2 linked regions of the Macaca fascicularis genome follow. The protein of the gene in region 2 purifies or fractionates together with the protein of the main gene of each other region. This does not show direct contact. Links are inferred from orthologs where the notes say so. Each region holds a gene or a part of one and is shown on either strand. Other genes may lie near its edges.

Region 1 (7,862 bases), on a different chromosome or scaffold from region 2:
AAGGTCCAGCTCCAGAGGAATGGAGTCAGTGTTGTGAAGTAAGAAAGTTAATATTTCATTTATATAGGCGAAGGGGTGGCCAGCCCCTCCACACCTGTGGGTGTCAGGTGGAACCAGAGACTTGAGAAAATATAGAAGAGAGACAAAGTAGAGAGAAAGAAAAGTGGGTCCAGCGGCACTCAGCATACAGAGGAACCGCACTGGCACTGGTCTCTGAGTCCCTTCAGTATTTATGGATCATTATCTCTACCATCTCGGAGAGGGGGATGTGGCAGAACAATAGGGTAATAGTCAGGAGAGGGTCAGCAGGAAAACATGTGAACAAAGGTCTCTGTGTCATAAATAAGTTTAAGTAAAGGTGCTGTGCCGTGATGTGCACACACACAAACATCTCGGTGCAATAAAAAGCAGTATTGCCGCCAGCATGTCTCACCTCCAGCCCTAAGGCTGTTTTCTCCTATCTCAGTAAATAGAACATACAATGGGGTTTTACACGGAGACATTCTATTCTCATGGACATGCAGGAGACAGATGCCTTCCTCTTAACTACAAAGAGGCCTCCCTCTTTCACTAATCCTCCTCGGCACGGACCCTTTCCAGGTGTTGGGCTGAGAGACCATCAGGCCTTTCCCTTCCCAGGAGGCCATATCTCAGGCTATCACATGGGAAGAAAACTTGGACAATACCTGGCTTTCCTAGGCAGAGGTCCCTGTGGCCTTCCGCAGTGTATTGTGTCCCTGGGTACTTGAGATTAGAGAATGGTGATGACTTTTAACAAGCATACTGCCTTCAAGCACTTTTTTAACAAAGCACATCCTGCATAGCCCTAAATCCCTTAAACCTTGAGTCAACCCAGCACCTGTCTCTGCACATGTGCTGTACACATGGCTTGGGGCTAGGGTTGCAGATTAACAGCAAGTTGAGGCAGAAGAATTTCTCTTAGTACAGAACAAAATAGAGTCTCTTATGTCTACTTCTTTCTATATAGACACAGTAACAGTCTGATCTCTTTCCCCACATATAGGCAAGCACACAGGACTTTTTAGCAGGATTACATTTTTCATAGAAGATTGGTACATAGTTATAGTAATTTGGTTGGCTATAGACAATGTTTCTTTTTGGGAAAAGTACATGTAACTTTTTTTTTTTCAATGTTTTTTGATTTGGAGTCTGGCACTGTTGCCTGAGCTGGAGTGCAGTGGCACGATCTTGGCTCACTGCAACCTCCTCCTCCCAGGTTCAAGGGATTCTTCTGCCTCAGTCTCCCAAGTAGCTGGGATTACAGGCACCTGCCACCACGCCCGGCTAATTTTTTGTATTTTTTTTTTCTTTTTTTTTGAGACGAAGTCTCTCTCTGTGGCCCAGGCTGGAGTGCAGTGGCCAGATCTCAGATCACTGCAAGCTCCGCCTCCCGGGTTCACGCGGTTCTCCTGCCTCAGCCTCCCGAGTAGCTGGGACTACAGGCGCCCGCCACCTTGCCTGGCTATTTTTTTGTATTTTTTAGTAGAGACGGGGTTTCAACGTCTTAGCCAGGATGGTCTCGATCTCCTGACCTTGTGATCCACCCGTTTCGGCCTCCCAAAGTGCTGGGATTACAGGCTTGAGCCACCGCGCCCGGCCCCAATTTTTTGTATTTTTAGTAGAGATGGGGTTTCACTATGTTGGCCAGGCTGGTCTTGAACTTCTGACCTTGTGATTCACATGTAACTTTTTTTTTTTTTGAGAGGGAATCTTGCTCTGTCTCCCAGACTGGAGTGCAGTGGCACGATCTCGGCTCACTGCAACCTCTGCCTCCCGGGTTCAAGCAATTCTCCTGCCCCAGTCTCCCAAGTAGCCGGGATTACAGTCGTGAGCCATGGTGCCGGGGGTATGTAACATTTTTTTAACAGAGGATGAAATAGTCATGGATTTCCTGCACTCCAGCCTGGGTGACACAGCGAGACTCCCTCTCAAAAAAAAGAAAGTGAATTAATCTATAATCTGAGAACAGAAGTTGTAAACTATATGTGACTCACAGTCATATCTCTCTCGAGGCTTAAAATATTTTTTGGGATTGCAATAGCTTTTAAATTTTTTCTTTCTCTCTCTCTCTTTCTTTCGTTCTTTCTTAGTGTTGCTCTGTTGCCAGGCTGGAGTGCAGTGGCGCGATCTCAGCTCACCGCAGCCTCCGCCCCCCGGGTTCAAGCGATTTTCCTGCCTCAGCCTCCTGAGTAGCTGGGACTACAGGCACATGCCACCACGCCCGGCTAATTTTTTGTATTTTTAGTAGAGTCGAGGTTTCGCCGTGTTAGCAAGGATGGTCTCAATCTCCTGACCCCATGATCTGCCCGCCTCCGCCTTCCAAAGTGCTGGGATTACAGGCGTAAACCACTGCGCTCAGCCTAAATTTCATTATTTTCTGTAGTTTCCTGGCCTTTCGACTAAGGCTCATGTAAATTTTTTGTTATTTCTACACCAATTTCTGTAGATTATTATGAGAATTAAGGGAGATAATTATATAAAGGGCTTAACACAGTGTCTGGCATTTAGGAAGAAAGCAGTAAGTGGTAGCTATTATTTATTATTATTTTTTGTGATGGAGTTTCGCTTTTGTTGCCCAGGCTGGAGTGCAGTGGCCTCCCAGGTTCAAGCAATTCAGAGAGTTGCTGGCCGGGCACAGTGGCTCACGCCTGTAATTCCAGCACTTTTGGAGGCCGAGGTGGGTGGATCACCTAAGGTTGGGAGTTTGAGACTAGCCTGACCAACATGGAGAAACCCCATCTCTACTAAAAACACAAAATTGGCCGGGCGCTGTGACTCACGCCTGTAATTCCAGCACTTTGGGAGGCTGAGGAGGGCGGATCACAAGGTCAGGATATCAAGACCAGCCTGGCTAACCCGGTGAAACCCCGTCACTACTAAAAATACAAAAAATTAGCCGGGCGCGGTGGTGGGCGCCTGTAGTCCCAACTACTGGGGAGGCTGAGGCAGGAGAATGGCCCGAACCCGGGAGGCGGAGCTTGCAGTGAGCCGAGATCGCGCCACTGCACTCCAGCCTGGGAGACGGAGCCAGATCCGTCTCAAAACAAAAAAAAGAGAGTTGTGGTTTGATGGCCGGTGGGGGGGCGGGGCGGTGGTGAGGGGCGGGGCTTAGTGGTTCACGCCCACGGCTACAAGGCCCAATCAGACCCGTGGAGCAGGTGGAGTTCCGCCCTCGCTGAGGAGGTGGAGTTCCGCTCTCAACGACGCAGCAGGCGCGGAACTGGGGTTGCGGCGGCTAAGTGTGTTTCCGGTAGATTCCCAGGGGCGGTCGGAGGTGTGGACTGTTCCTGCCTTCATGCTCTGGGAAGATGTTCTACCATGTGAGCAGGGCCCAGGGTGGCGGCAAGGGCTGGGTGGAAAGGAGGAGCAAGGCCAGGCGCCGGCGCGAGGCTCCCCTTGTCGTCTGATAAGCTCCCAGCGCGTGGCCTGGTCGCCATCCCTCTTTTCTCCGCAGATCTCCCTAGAGCACGAAATCCTGCTGCACCCGCGCTACTTCGGCCCCAACTTGCTCAACACGGTGAAGCAGAAGCTCTTCACCGAAGTGGAGGGGACCTGCACAGGGAAGTGAGTGCCGAGCTCACCGTGCCGCCAGATCGTTCGATGCGCACACGGGTCGCTATACCTGCAAACCCTCCGCAACTCCTATTTAGTCCTGCCACCCACTCTAGGGACCCCGCTCACCCTCTCAGGCAGCCAGTTGCTTCCTGCTTTGGGTTCCCAGGGCGCCCTCTGCAATGCTGGACAATAAGACTTCCTTCCCTCAGCTGAGATTGGTCATTCATTCATTTACTCCTCAGACATTTTAAAAACACTTGGTGTGTGCCAGGACCCGTGTTGGGCTCAGAACAAGGTAGAATGGGAACAAGATAGAATGAGGCCAGCTCTTGTGGAGCTCACAGTGTAGTCATTGTTCCTGTGTCTCCTCTCACTCTGTCATTCTGCTGGTTTTCTCTTATCCCCTGTGTCCAGGGACCACACACCGTGGGCCTCTATATATCTTCTGAATGGATGACCAGAAAAAGTGGATCGAAAGTTTGGGGGAGGAAGGAAGTAGACTGGGACTTGACCATCTCTGGGCTTTGCACTGAGGGCCTTCTGTGATATTAATGAGCTGGGACCCAGCCCAGGGCAGTGGAGTACTTGGGCCTCCAGCATCAGAAAAACCTGCAGGAACATGCAGATTCCTGAGCCTCCTTATTCCCTACAGAATCAAGACTCTGTGAGGCAGACCTGAGAATCTGCATTTTAAGAAGATGATTCTCAGGCATCCCGAAGATTGAGATCTGTTTCCTCAAGGACTCCAGCCTTCTTGTACATTTACTGTGAAATTACCAGAACAGCATTTGGTCTTATACATACTGATCTGTGTTCTTTTTTTTTTTTTTTTTTTTTTGAGACGGAGTCTCGCTCTGTGGCCCAGGCTGGAGTGCAGTGGCCTGATCTCAGCTCACCGCAAGCTCCGCCTCCCGGGTTCAGGCCATTCTCCTGCCTCAGCTTCCCGAGTAGCTGGGACTACAGGCGCCTGCCACCTCGCCTGGCTAGTTTTTTGTATTTTTTAGTAGAGACGGGGTTTCACCGGGTTAGCCAGGATGGTCTCGATCTCCTGACGTCGTGATCCGCCCGTCTCGGCCTCCCAAAGTGCTGGGATTACAGGCTTGAGCCACCGCGCCCAGCCCATACTGATCTGTGTTCTGTCTTCTCTTGGTCATTAAGCTCTCTGGGAGCAGAGGTGCTATCTACTTGTCCTTTTGCTCTCCCCGACACTACTCCCAAGAGCTCAGTGACTTTTATTGCAGATGTCTCTAGAGGCTCTTGGACACACAATGTCTTTCTGTTTCTCATCCTCCTTGCAGGTATGGCTTTGTAATTGCTGTCACCACCATTGACAATATTGGTGCTGGTGTGATCCAGCCAGGCCGAGGCTTTGTCCTTTATCCAGTTAAGTACAAGGCCATTGTTTTCCGGCCCTTTAAAGGGGAGGTCGTGGATGCTGTTGTAACTCAGGTCAACAAGGTGAGACCATACGTAGGGGAGGCATTGGGGTAGTCTCTCAGTAGATCTGGGTTGGGTCCTGGCTCCACTTCATAACTGTGCCTTCAGCTAAGTCACTTTACTTCTTTTTTTTTTTTTGAGACGGAGTGTTGCTCTGTCGCCCAGGCTGGAGTGCAGTGGTGCCATCTTGGCTCACTGAAACCTCTGCCTTCTGGGTTCCAGTGAGTCTCTTGCCTCGGCCTCCCAAGTAGTTGGGACTAAAGGCAGGTGCCACCATTGCCGGCTAAGTTTTTGTATTTTTTTAGTAGAGATAGGGTTTTGCCATGTTGCCCAGGCTGATCTCGAACTCCTGAGCTCAATCTGCCTTCCTCGGCCTCCCAAAGCGCTAGGATTACAGGTGTGAGCTACCACGCCTAGCCATCACTTTACTTCTTGTGCTGCACTTTCAAATTGTATGGTAATCTTCCCTGCCCAACTCAGAGGGCAAGAGTCAACATTAATAGTCATAACAATAAAAGCCTGTGTTGATTGAGTAGTGACTGTGGGCCAGGTGAAGTGCAGAGACTCACAATGACTAAAAGGTGGGTGCTTTCCTTTTTTTTTTTTTTTTAAGATGGAGTTTAGCTCTGTCGCCAGACTGGAGTGCAGTGGCACAATCTTGGCTCACTACAACCTCCGCCTCTGGGTTCAAGTGATTCTCCTGCCTCAGCCTCCCAGGTAGCTGGGACTATAGGCATGCGCCACCACGCTCAGCTAATTTTTGTATTTTTAGTAGAGATGAGGTTTCTCCATGTTGGTCAGGCTGGTCTCAAACTCCTGACCTCAGGTGATCTGCCTGCCTCAGCCACCGAAAGTGCTGGGATTGTAGGCGTGAGCCACTGCCCCCGGCCAGTGGGTGCTTTTTACAGAAGCTGAAGCTTAGAAGAAGTTAAGTGTATTGGCCAAGATCATGTGGCCAACAGGTGTTCAAATCTTGGACTAACAGGCCTAAGCTCTTTAATACTTTAAAATGAAAGGTTAGGCTGGGCATGGTGGCTCACATCTGTAATCCCAGCACTTTGGGAGGCTGAGGTGGGCAGATCACCTGAGGTTGGGAGTTCAAGACCAGCCTGGCCAATATGATGAAACCCTATCTCTACTAAAAATACAAAAATTAGCCAGGCATCGTGGCATGTGCATGTAGTCCCAGCTACTCGGGAGGCTGAGGCATGAGAATCACTTGAACGTGGGAGGTGGAGGTTGCAGTGAGTTGAAATTGCACCACTGCACTCCAGAGTGAACAACAGAGCGAGATTCTGTCTCAAAATAAATACATAAATAAATACAAATGAAAGCTTAAAAAAAAAGAGAAGAGGGCTGGGTGTGCTGGCTTACACCTATAATCCCAGTGCTTTGGGAGGCAGAAGTGGGAAGATTGCTTGAGCCTAGGAGTTTGAGACCAGCCTGGGCAACATAGCAAGACTCTGTCTCTACAAAAAGTTTTAAAAAATTAGCCTAGCATGGTGGTGTGCACCTGTGGTCTCAGCTACTTGGAAGGCTGAGGTGGGAGGATTGCTTGAGCCCAGGAATTCAAAGGTACAGTGAGCTGTGATTACACCACTGCTTTCCAACCTGGGCAACAGTGAGAACCTGTCTCAAAATTTAGAAAGCAAAAAACAAAAACACAACACTTGAGGGGACAAAGAAAAGCAAGATCACTCTTTTTTTTTTTTTGAGACGGAGTCTTGCTCTGTTGCCAGGCTGGAGTACAATGGCGAGATCTGGCTCACTGCAACCTCCGCCTCCCGGGTTCAAACGATTCTCCTGCCTCAGTCTCTTGAGTAGCTGGGATTACAGGTGCGCTACCACACCCAGCTAATTTTTGTATTTTTAGCAGAGACAAGGTTTCACCATGTTGGTCAGGCTGGTCTTGAACTTGTGACCTCATGATCCACCCGCCTCGGCCCCCCAAAGTGCTGGGATTATAGGCATAAGCCACCGTGCATGACCATAAGATCACTCATTTTTTTCTAGGTTGGACTCTTCACAGAAATTGGACCCATGTCTTGCTTCATCTCTCGACATGTAAGTCTAGGCACACTGGGTGGGGCTGAGGAAGAGAGATACCCATTCATTACCATCTACTGAAGCATCCTTTTAAAGTGCTACCCTAATCTCACTTTCCTTTCAGTCCATCCCTTCAGAGATGGAGTTTGATCCTAACTCCAACCCACCATGTTACAAGACAATGGATGAGGTAAGTGGACAGAAAGAAGTCAGGAAGAGGAAGAGAGAATCAGTCATCCTGAGGGAGAATATTGGCCTGAGGATGGCCGAGCACAGATGGTCCCTGAATTACCATGGCTTGATTCATGATTTTATGACTTTACGATGATGCGAAAGTGATGTGCATTCAATATGCCCCCGGGCTTACAGTGAAGTAGTTGTGATGTAACCTCTCATAAACTGAGGAGCATCTGTACACTGTTCCCTCCTCTCCCCAGGATATTGTGATTCAGCAGGACGATGAGATCCGCTTAAAGATTGTGGGGACCCGTGTGGACAAGAATGACATTGTGAGTCTTTTCCCCACCTCTACCTATACCAGGCTGAGCGGAGAGCTGTTGGATTTCTTGCCACCTAGTTTCAGGGGGTTCTATGCTCTTCTGTCAGGAAGAAGGGATGGATGGGCAGAAGGCCTGGGGCTGCGGGGTAGAGGTTGGTTCTGTGCTCATCTTGGCTTCACTTTCTTTTTTTTTTTTTTTTTTTTGAGACGGAGTCTCGCTTTGTCGCCCAGGCTGGAGTGCAGTGGCCGGATCTCAGCTCACTGCAAGCTCCGCCTCCCGGGTTTACGCCATTCTCCTCCCGAG
Region 2 (7,079 bases):
GTGTTTAAATCTACCATCTCACTCCTCTTTCTGTGTGTCCCACTTATTCTGTCTTCCTTTTCTCTCTTGCTTTCTTTTGCATTGAATCATTATTCCATTTTTTAGCCTCTGTTAAATTGTTTTTATATACTGTTTTATTGATCATTAAATGGTTACCCTAAGTGTTAAAACCTGAATCTTTGTCTTATTAAAGTCTAATGTAAGTTAATATTTTCATTGCTTCCTGGACAATTAGCACCTTAGAATGATTTAACTCCATGTATCCCTCTTGATCCCTCTCGACTTATGTTCTATTATTGGATATTTTTATTTTCTCTAAATTTCAAATATATTGCAAGATTATTTATAGCCAACACTCAGCTGGATTTATCCAATTAATTACTCTTTCATTGTTTTTCATTCCTCCTTCTATCCCCATTCTTCCATCTGGGATTATTTGCCTTGTGCCTGAAGAATATACTTCTCTTAGTATCAGTTGATAATGAATTTTCTCAGTTTTTCTTTGTCAGAAAATTCTTTATTTTACTTTTACTTTTGAAAGATATTTTTCTGTATTGAATTTTAGATGAGCAGTTATTTTCTTTCAGCCCATTGAAAATATCATTCCCTTGTCTTTTGGCTTCCATTTGTATCTCTTATTGCTACTCCTTTGAAAGTATTGTGTCTTCTTCCTCTAGCTTCTTTTAAGACTTTTTTTGTAAGTTTTGGAATGTTCCCAGTTATCTCCTAGATATTGCTTCTATTCCATTCTGCCTCTTTAGTCTTTTTTTTTTTTTTACTGTATCTTGTAGGTCTCTTAATCTCCTTTGTGCTTTACATTATGTGTTTGGGGAGTGGTGACTGTGCTTCATTCTGGATATTTTCCTATTCAGCATTCTCTCTTCAGTCATTTCTACGATGCTCTTATGTCTACCCATTAGTTCTTACTTTTAAATACTGTATTTTTGTGTTCTAGGGTCTTCATTTTGTTACTTTATGTAGTTTCCAGTTCTCTGTCAAAAATTTTCAACCTTGTCATTTTTCTTTGAATACATTAAACATTTATTTAAATAATGCTGATAACTTCATTATTTAGATTCCCTCAGGATTGATCTCTGTAGGCTGTTTCAGATTGTTATCATATTGTCTTATTACATGCCAAACATTGTATATTAAAATTTAGAGAGATAACTGGAGACTCAGGATGATGTTATCTTCCTCTAGAATAGATTTATATTTGCTTCTGACATGATTTGTAGCTGTTCCATATCACTGTAATGTAATCAGAGATTAAGATGATTTCAAGGTGGGATTCACCTCCTGAAAGAACTAGTCTATTTCCTATTCTTTTTCTTATTCCTAGAGTACGGTCTTTCCAAGTCCTGGTCTTATATTTGGGGAGGGTTGCCCATACCCCTCCCTTCTTGAAGGATACCCTAAACTGTTTTTATTAGAAAAACTGCTCCGTTTCTCAATATCTAAATGGAAAATTAGTGCTCTATCTGTAATTACCTTCTCCAGGATCTCAGACTGTAATTCTTTATAGCCTCGTTAGCTCTCTGATGCTAACAAATGTGTTTCAAACAAATGTGGATTTTTTTCCTCCAACTTTTTTCAGTTCTCAGAGAGAGAGTTGGTTTGAATTATCTTGTGTGCCATTTCTAGAATGATTAGGGGTCAAATGACATAATGACAGAACTCCTCATAATATATTTATAGTATTTGCTAATTTTAATATTTTAATCCACTACATTTGTACAGCACTTAGCAGTTTACAAAATCTTTTTGTATACATTTTATCATTTAATAAAGGAGGTATTAATATCTCACTTACAAAGATGAGAAAACTAACTATCCAAAGAGGGCAAATGACTCAAGCAAGTTCACAACAGCCTAACAACTGAGTTGATACTCAAATTTAAATCTAATTCTCAAGTCTAGTTATTTTCCTACTATGCCACAGATATAAACTTTTGTGTTTTAATGTTTATTATTCTACTTATCAAAGAAAGAATGTAAACTTATGATTCTGTTTTGCTTTGTTTAAAAATGTGATTCAGCATGATTCCACCTTTCCACTGATAGACTCAAGTTCCCAGAACCAGATTAGAAAACGCATCGTACTTGAAAAGTTGAGTAAAGTGTAAGTATATAATTGCCATTCCAGCTTTGTAGTAGTTTTAAATTAGCTTGACATTTATGAGCTCATAATGTGTAAGTATTATCCTCAAATTTTGAACATTTTGAAAAATAATGTGAAAAGTTTCCATGGATTTCTTCAGTTGAGAAATTTGGATTTTTAAGATATTTTTTCCAAGAAATACAAATTTTTGTGTAGAGGACACAGAGGCACATCATAAAGAGGAAGGTTGAGATTGTGGATTTAGAAGACCAAACTACGTTACTCCCACCTAATCAGTGAAGTCAGGGAAAAAAAATCTCACAGCTAGACCCATTTAAATACTGATTTGTGGTAAATGTGTCACAGCAGTTTCAGATGTGAATAAGATGTTATTATAAAGTTTTAAGGGTCTGTTAACTCACTCTGCATGCATATCCTTAGAACCATTTCACATTCAGCAACTTGAGTTTTTGTTCAGCTCAACGTTGCACTTTTAGCTTTAAACTTCCCGTGGTGGAAAGTATTGTTCTTGTAATTAGCCCAGTCATAAATGACATTTAAAAATTGCTATCTTGGTTTTTCTTTCAAAAAGAACTTGAAGATTTTTTTTCCTGAGGTGTGAGGGCTGTGTTGAACTTTTCAATCTGCATTTTCTTATTTTAGCAGAAAACATGGAAAAGTGTGTCAGTCATTATTTAAGGGTTGTGAATATGAAGTTTTATTTTGTAGCAGTTTGAAAATACGGAAAACATTTCACATTAACCAAGGCATAAAGAAGAGTGAAGACAAAACTAATTATGTTATAGGAATTTTTTGTTGTTTGTTTATGAAAGAGTTTTCTTCTCATTATCAAAGTTAGACCTTTTTTGGTTTTTTATTTGAACCAACCAACTGTAAAAAGTGTTTATTTCAGAGTATCAGAGGAAATTAAATATGTTGGATATTAGATGACACTCAGGAATTGTTAATTTGGATGGTTATGATCATTTTATTGTGATTATATAAGAAAGTGCCTTTGTATTTAGAGATAAAAATGGAAACAGGTCAAATGACATGACGACAGGTATTTACTTTAAAATATTACTACAAAATAAGAAAAAAATGGCCAGGTGTGGTGGCTCATGCCTGTAATACCAGAACTTTGGGAGGCTGAGGCAGGGGGATCACCTGAAGCCAGGAGTTCAAGACCAGCCTGGGCAACATAGTAAGACCCCATCTCTACAAAAATAAAAATAAAAATTAGGCCGGGTGCGGTGGCTCACGCCTGTAATCCCAGCACTTTGGGAGACTGAGGCAGGCAGATCACGAGGTCAAGAGATCGAGATCATCCTGTCTAACACAGTGAAACCCTGTCTCTACTAAAAATACAAAAAAAAAATTAGCCGGGCGTGGTGGCAGGCGCCTGTAGTCCCAGCTACTCAGGAGGCTGAGGCAGGAGAATGGCCCGAACCTGGGAGGCGGAGCTTGCAGTGAGCCAAGATCCCATCACTGCATTCCAGCCTGGGGGACAGAGTGAGACTTCATCTCAAAAAAATAAAATAAATAAAAATAAAAATTAATCGGGTGTTGTGGGGTTACTACTCAGGAGGCTGAAGTGGAGGATTGCTTGAGCCCAAGAGTTTGAGTCTGCAGCGAGCTATGATTATGCTCGTGATTAAACTGTTCTCCATAGTGGGTGTACTAATTTCCATTGCCACCAACACTGTATGAGGGTTCCCTTGTCTCCACATTTCTCACCAGCGTTTGTTATTGCCTGACGTTTGGATTATGCCACTGCACTCCAGCCTGGGTGCTGAAGGGAATGAGAAATGAAGCAAATGTAACAAAAATTAAGAAATTGAATCTGGAAATAGATATATGGGATTATTACTGTTCTTTCTATTTTGGAATATGTGTGAAACTTCCATAGTAAGAAGCTTTTTGTATTATCACACTGGTCTTAAAAAGAAGCTTTAAAAAAAATAAAGTAACACATACTTTAGCAAATGAGGCAATACAGAATGGTTTAAAGAAGGAAGTAAAAATTACCCGTAATCCCACCACTCAACACTAACTACTATTAATATTTTGATGTGTATCCCCGACATGTATATGGCATATGTATATTCATTCTATTTGGTTCTCTCTATGGATAAACCTAGAAGGGATGAAATATGCTTGATATGTAATATATATGAAGTACAATGGTATTATATAATATGTTTTTATAAAAATAGGATGATACTATGTACATTTTTCACTTCACATCTATCATGAATATCTTTTTATATTAAAAAATAGATTCACATTATTTTAAATGTCTTATTCTATGAAATTGGTGTATCATAATTTATCTAACCAATCACCTATTGATACACATTTGTTTCCAATTTTTCACTACTAAAACTATTTCCGCAACAAGCATATTTTTTATGTTTATCTGATTATTTCCTTAGATTAAATTTTTTTCATAGTAAAACTGTTGGGTCAAACACATTTAAACTGTTAATATATATTGTCAGATTGCTTCATAAAAGGGTACTAATTTTTACTCCCACCATGAGGATTTAGTAAGGAAAAATATACCGCACTCTCAGATTGGACCATTTTGGGGGCAGTTGTGTTCTTTCCATCTTGGTCTAATATTTGAAAATAAACAGGTAAGTAAAACTAGGGACAAGAATGTAAATAGCTGCCAAAATGATTTTGCATTTCAGTGCTTCACACTCAGTAACAGACTACAAAGTGGAGTGTGGGGTAATGTTTCCTTATGAGTTCTCACCAGTCATAACCTAAGTTAACCTTTAAATCATGACTGCTTCTACCTAAATGCCATTATTACCTATGGAAAATTCAGATCTAGGCATGACCCAAAAAAAGTTTCCATATAATTAAGGTTGTTTTAAAATAAATGTAATTTTTTAATTTTCAGATTGCCTGGGCTTCTCTGTCCTCTTCAGATTACATTGGGAGATATTTACACACAACTTAAAAATCTTGTTCGAACTTTCAGGTTAGTATTTATATTACAATTATCCTTCTCAATTATTTTGACTTTATTTATTGCCTTGCAGAATCCAAAGGCACAGAGAAAGTAAGTGACTTACCTTTCAATACCACAGATCTAAATACGGTATTCTATTTTTCTCCTCCACTAAACAACGTTATTTTTCTCTTCTTTTTAATGCAACCTTTATTTGCTCAAGCCATTATATAGTTCACTTTGGATAGTTTATTTATGGAATAGCCTAAAATTGAGAAGCAAAATTATATGTCTGACACAAAGCCAGTAATACTATGGGTTTAAGTGAAATAGTAAATATATATTGGATGACCCACACTGTGCCAGGCACTATGGGTAATGTAAAAGAAACATAATGCCGCCCTAAAGGAAGAACTCTCCTGTGTGGAGATCATGTGAGTACAGTGAACAGTACAAGACAGTGGGTAATTTAATATTGAATTACACAGAACAGACTAAAGTGCTAAGAACTTTAAAGGAAGGGAGGATAGAGAATTGATATCAATTGTGAGTGAAACTGTTGTGATTTTTCCTAAAACTATCAAGATAAAAGTATTCAATCAGGCTAAGACTAGGTTCTCTCTACCAAGAAGCATAGCAATAAGCCTCTAAATGCCTTATTACTAGAATTGTACCAAATGCACATTTCAGCCAAATGCCAGTGACCAAATGTTAAAATTAACATTTGCCTGTGGCTAATGTTGCACTGACACAGAATAAACTTCTAGGGTAGAAGAATTAATTTATCCAAGACATTTATCATATGTATTTATTATTGTAGTTTATTATTGTCAACAATAGCAGTCAGATTTTAGAAGTGTAAAATTACAGTACAGGAACAATTTCTTGGCACTGTCAGCTGTTAGATTTCTCTTGCAGTAACATACTGTACATCAGTAACACCTAATAGACAATCATTTTAAACTGGCACATTTAAAAACATCACTAACCTTTTTGTGTGCCAAAAGTAATTCAGGAAAAGGTTTTTCGGTAAGGATTTTACTAGAAAGAGTTTTGTATCTAGAATTCAAAGTTTAAGGCAAACCTCAAAAATTATTTGTCTTCAAAGACTTGTCTTCAGCTGCTGAAAAGGATAATTTGTAATAATTTACATTAAACTATCAAACCTTCATAGATTCAAAACTATAGATGTCTTAAAACATTATTCTAGAGTCTTCTATAGTGAACTTTGACTAAACAAAATGTGCTTGGGATATCTCAGTTTTCTCTAAGTTTTATCTTAACACTTTGTTATATCATGATTAGATATTATATTTGGATTATTATATATCTGTTGTTTATATAATTTAGGAATTTTTCCAACTCATGATAGTTTGAGGGGACATTGATTTTCATTCATCATCAATTCCCCAACAGAAATTTAAATACAGGTCTTCAAGGTTATTTTCTTTAATGTTGTGACTACTAGTAGGTAATACATTTCTGCAAAGTTTGAGTTATTGTAAAATCTAATGTCTATTACTCTGTTTTAGATTGTTTAAATTTTTATTAACCTATTCCCAAGATACATTCTTGAGAAAGTAATCTAGTGTATTCAATATTTGTATCAACTATCAATCTTATTTTCCTAAATAATTGAAAGTTGTTACTGATTGTTTTGTACTTAAAATTAAGTTTCACAGACATCAATTATTGTGGTATTTTACTCTTCAGTTGGCTGATAAAACAAGCACATAAAGACTTTCACTTCATTTTATCTAGGATGTTTATATTTGAAGCTGAATGTTTAGGTAATGATAAACTGAATGATATGATTGTTCTAATTACTAAGATTTTTACCCTCACTAGGTGTCATGAAAACTATGCAATTTGAAGATTATTGATTACTCACAAGTTCAGGGATGTCAATCCTCAGATTGACCTTGGACTTTGCCAAAAGAGGGTTTGAGCAAAATAACAAGTCCAAAGCTGAACTTGTCTGCATGCTGTGTGCCCTGTTAATAATGATGAGAGACA

What was found.
Region 1: the proteins of RPAP2 (region 2) and POLR2G purify together in Homo sapiens (affinity purification with mass spectrometry; 5 studies listed by BioGRID and IntAct, counting the BioPlex papers as one, with this or other methods). This does not show direct contact. The link is inferred for Macaca fascicularis from reciprocal best matches to the Homo sapiens genes RPAP2 and POLR2G.

What each region holds. Positions count from the first base shown.
Region 1 is NC_088388.1:11,290,004-11,297,865, reverse strand, and holds the start of POLR2G (DNA-directed RNA polymerase II subunit RPB7), read left to right. Parts: upstream 1-3,231; 5' UTR 3,232-3,316; coding exon 3,317-3,585; intron 3,586-4,874; coding exon 4,875-5,034; intron 5,035-7,026; coding exon 7,027-7,077; intron 7,078-7,183; coding exon 7,184-7,249; intron 7,250-7,496; coding exon 7,497-7,568; intron 7,569-7,862. UniProt on the Homo sapiens protein: Core component of RNA polymerase II (Pol II), a DNA-dependent RNA polymerase which synthesizes mRNA precursors and many functional non-coding RNAs using the four ribonucleoside triphosphates as substrates.
Region 2 is NC_088375.1:142,099,068-142,106,146, reverse strand, and holds part of RPAP2 (putative RNA polymerase II subunit B1 CTD phosphatase RPAP2), read left to right. Parts: intron 1-2,039; coding exon 2,040-2,122; intron 2,123-5,012; coding exon 5,013-5,093; intron 5,094-7,079.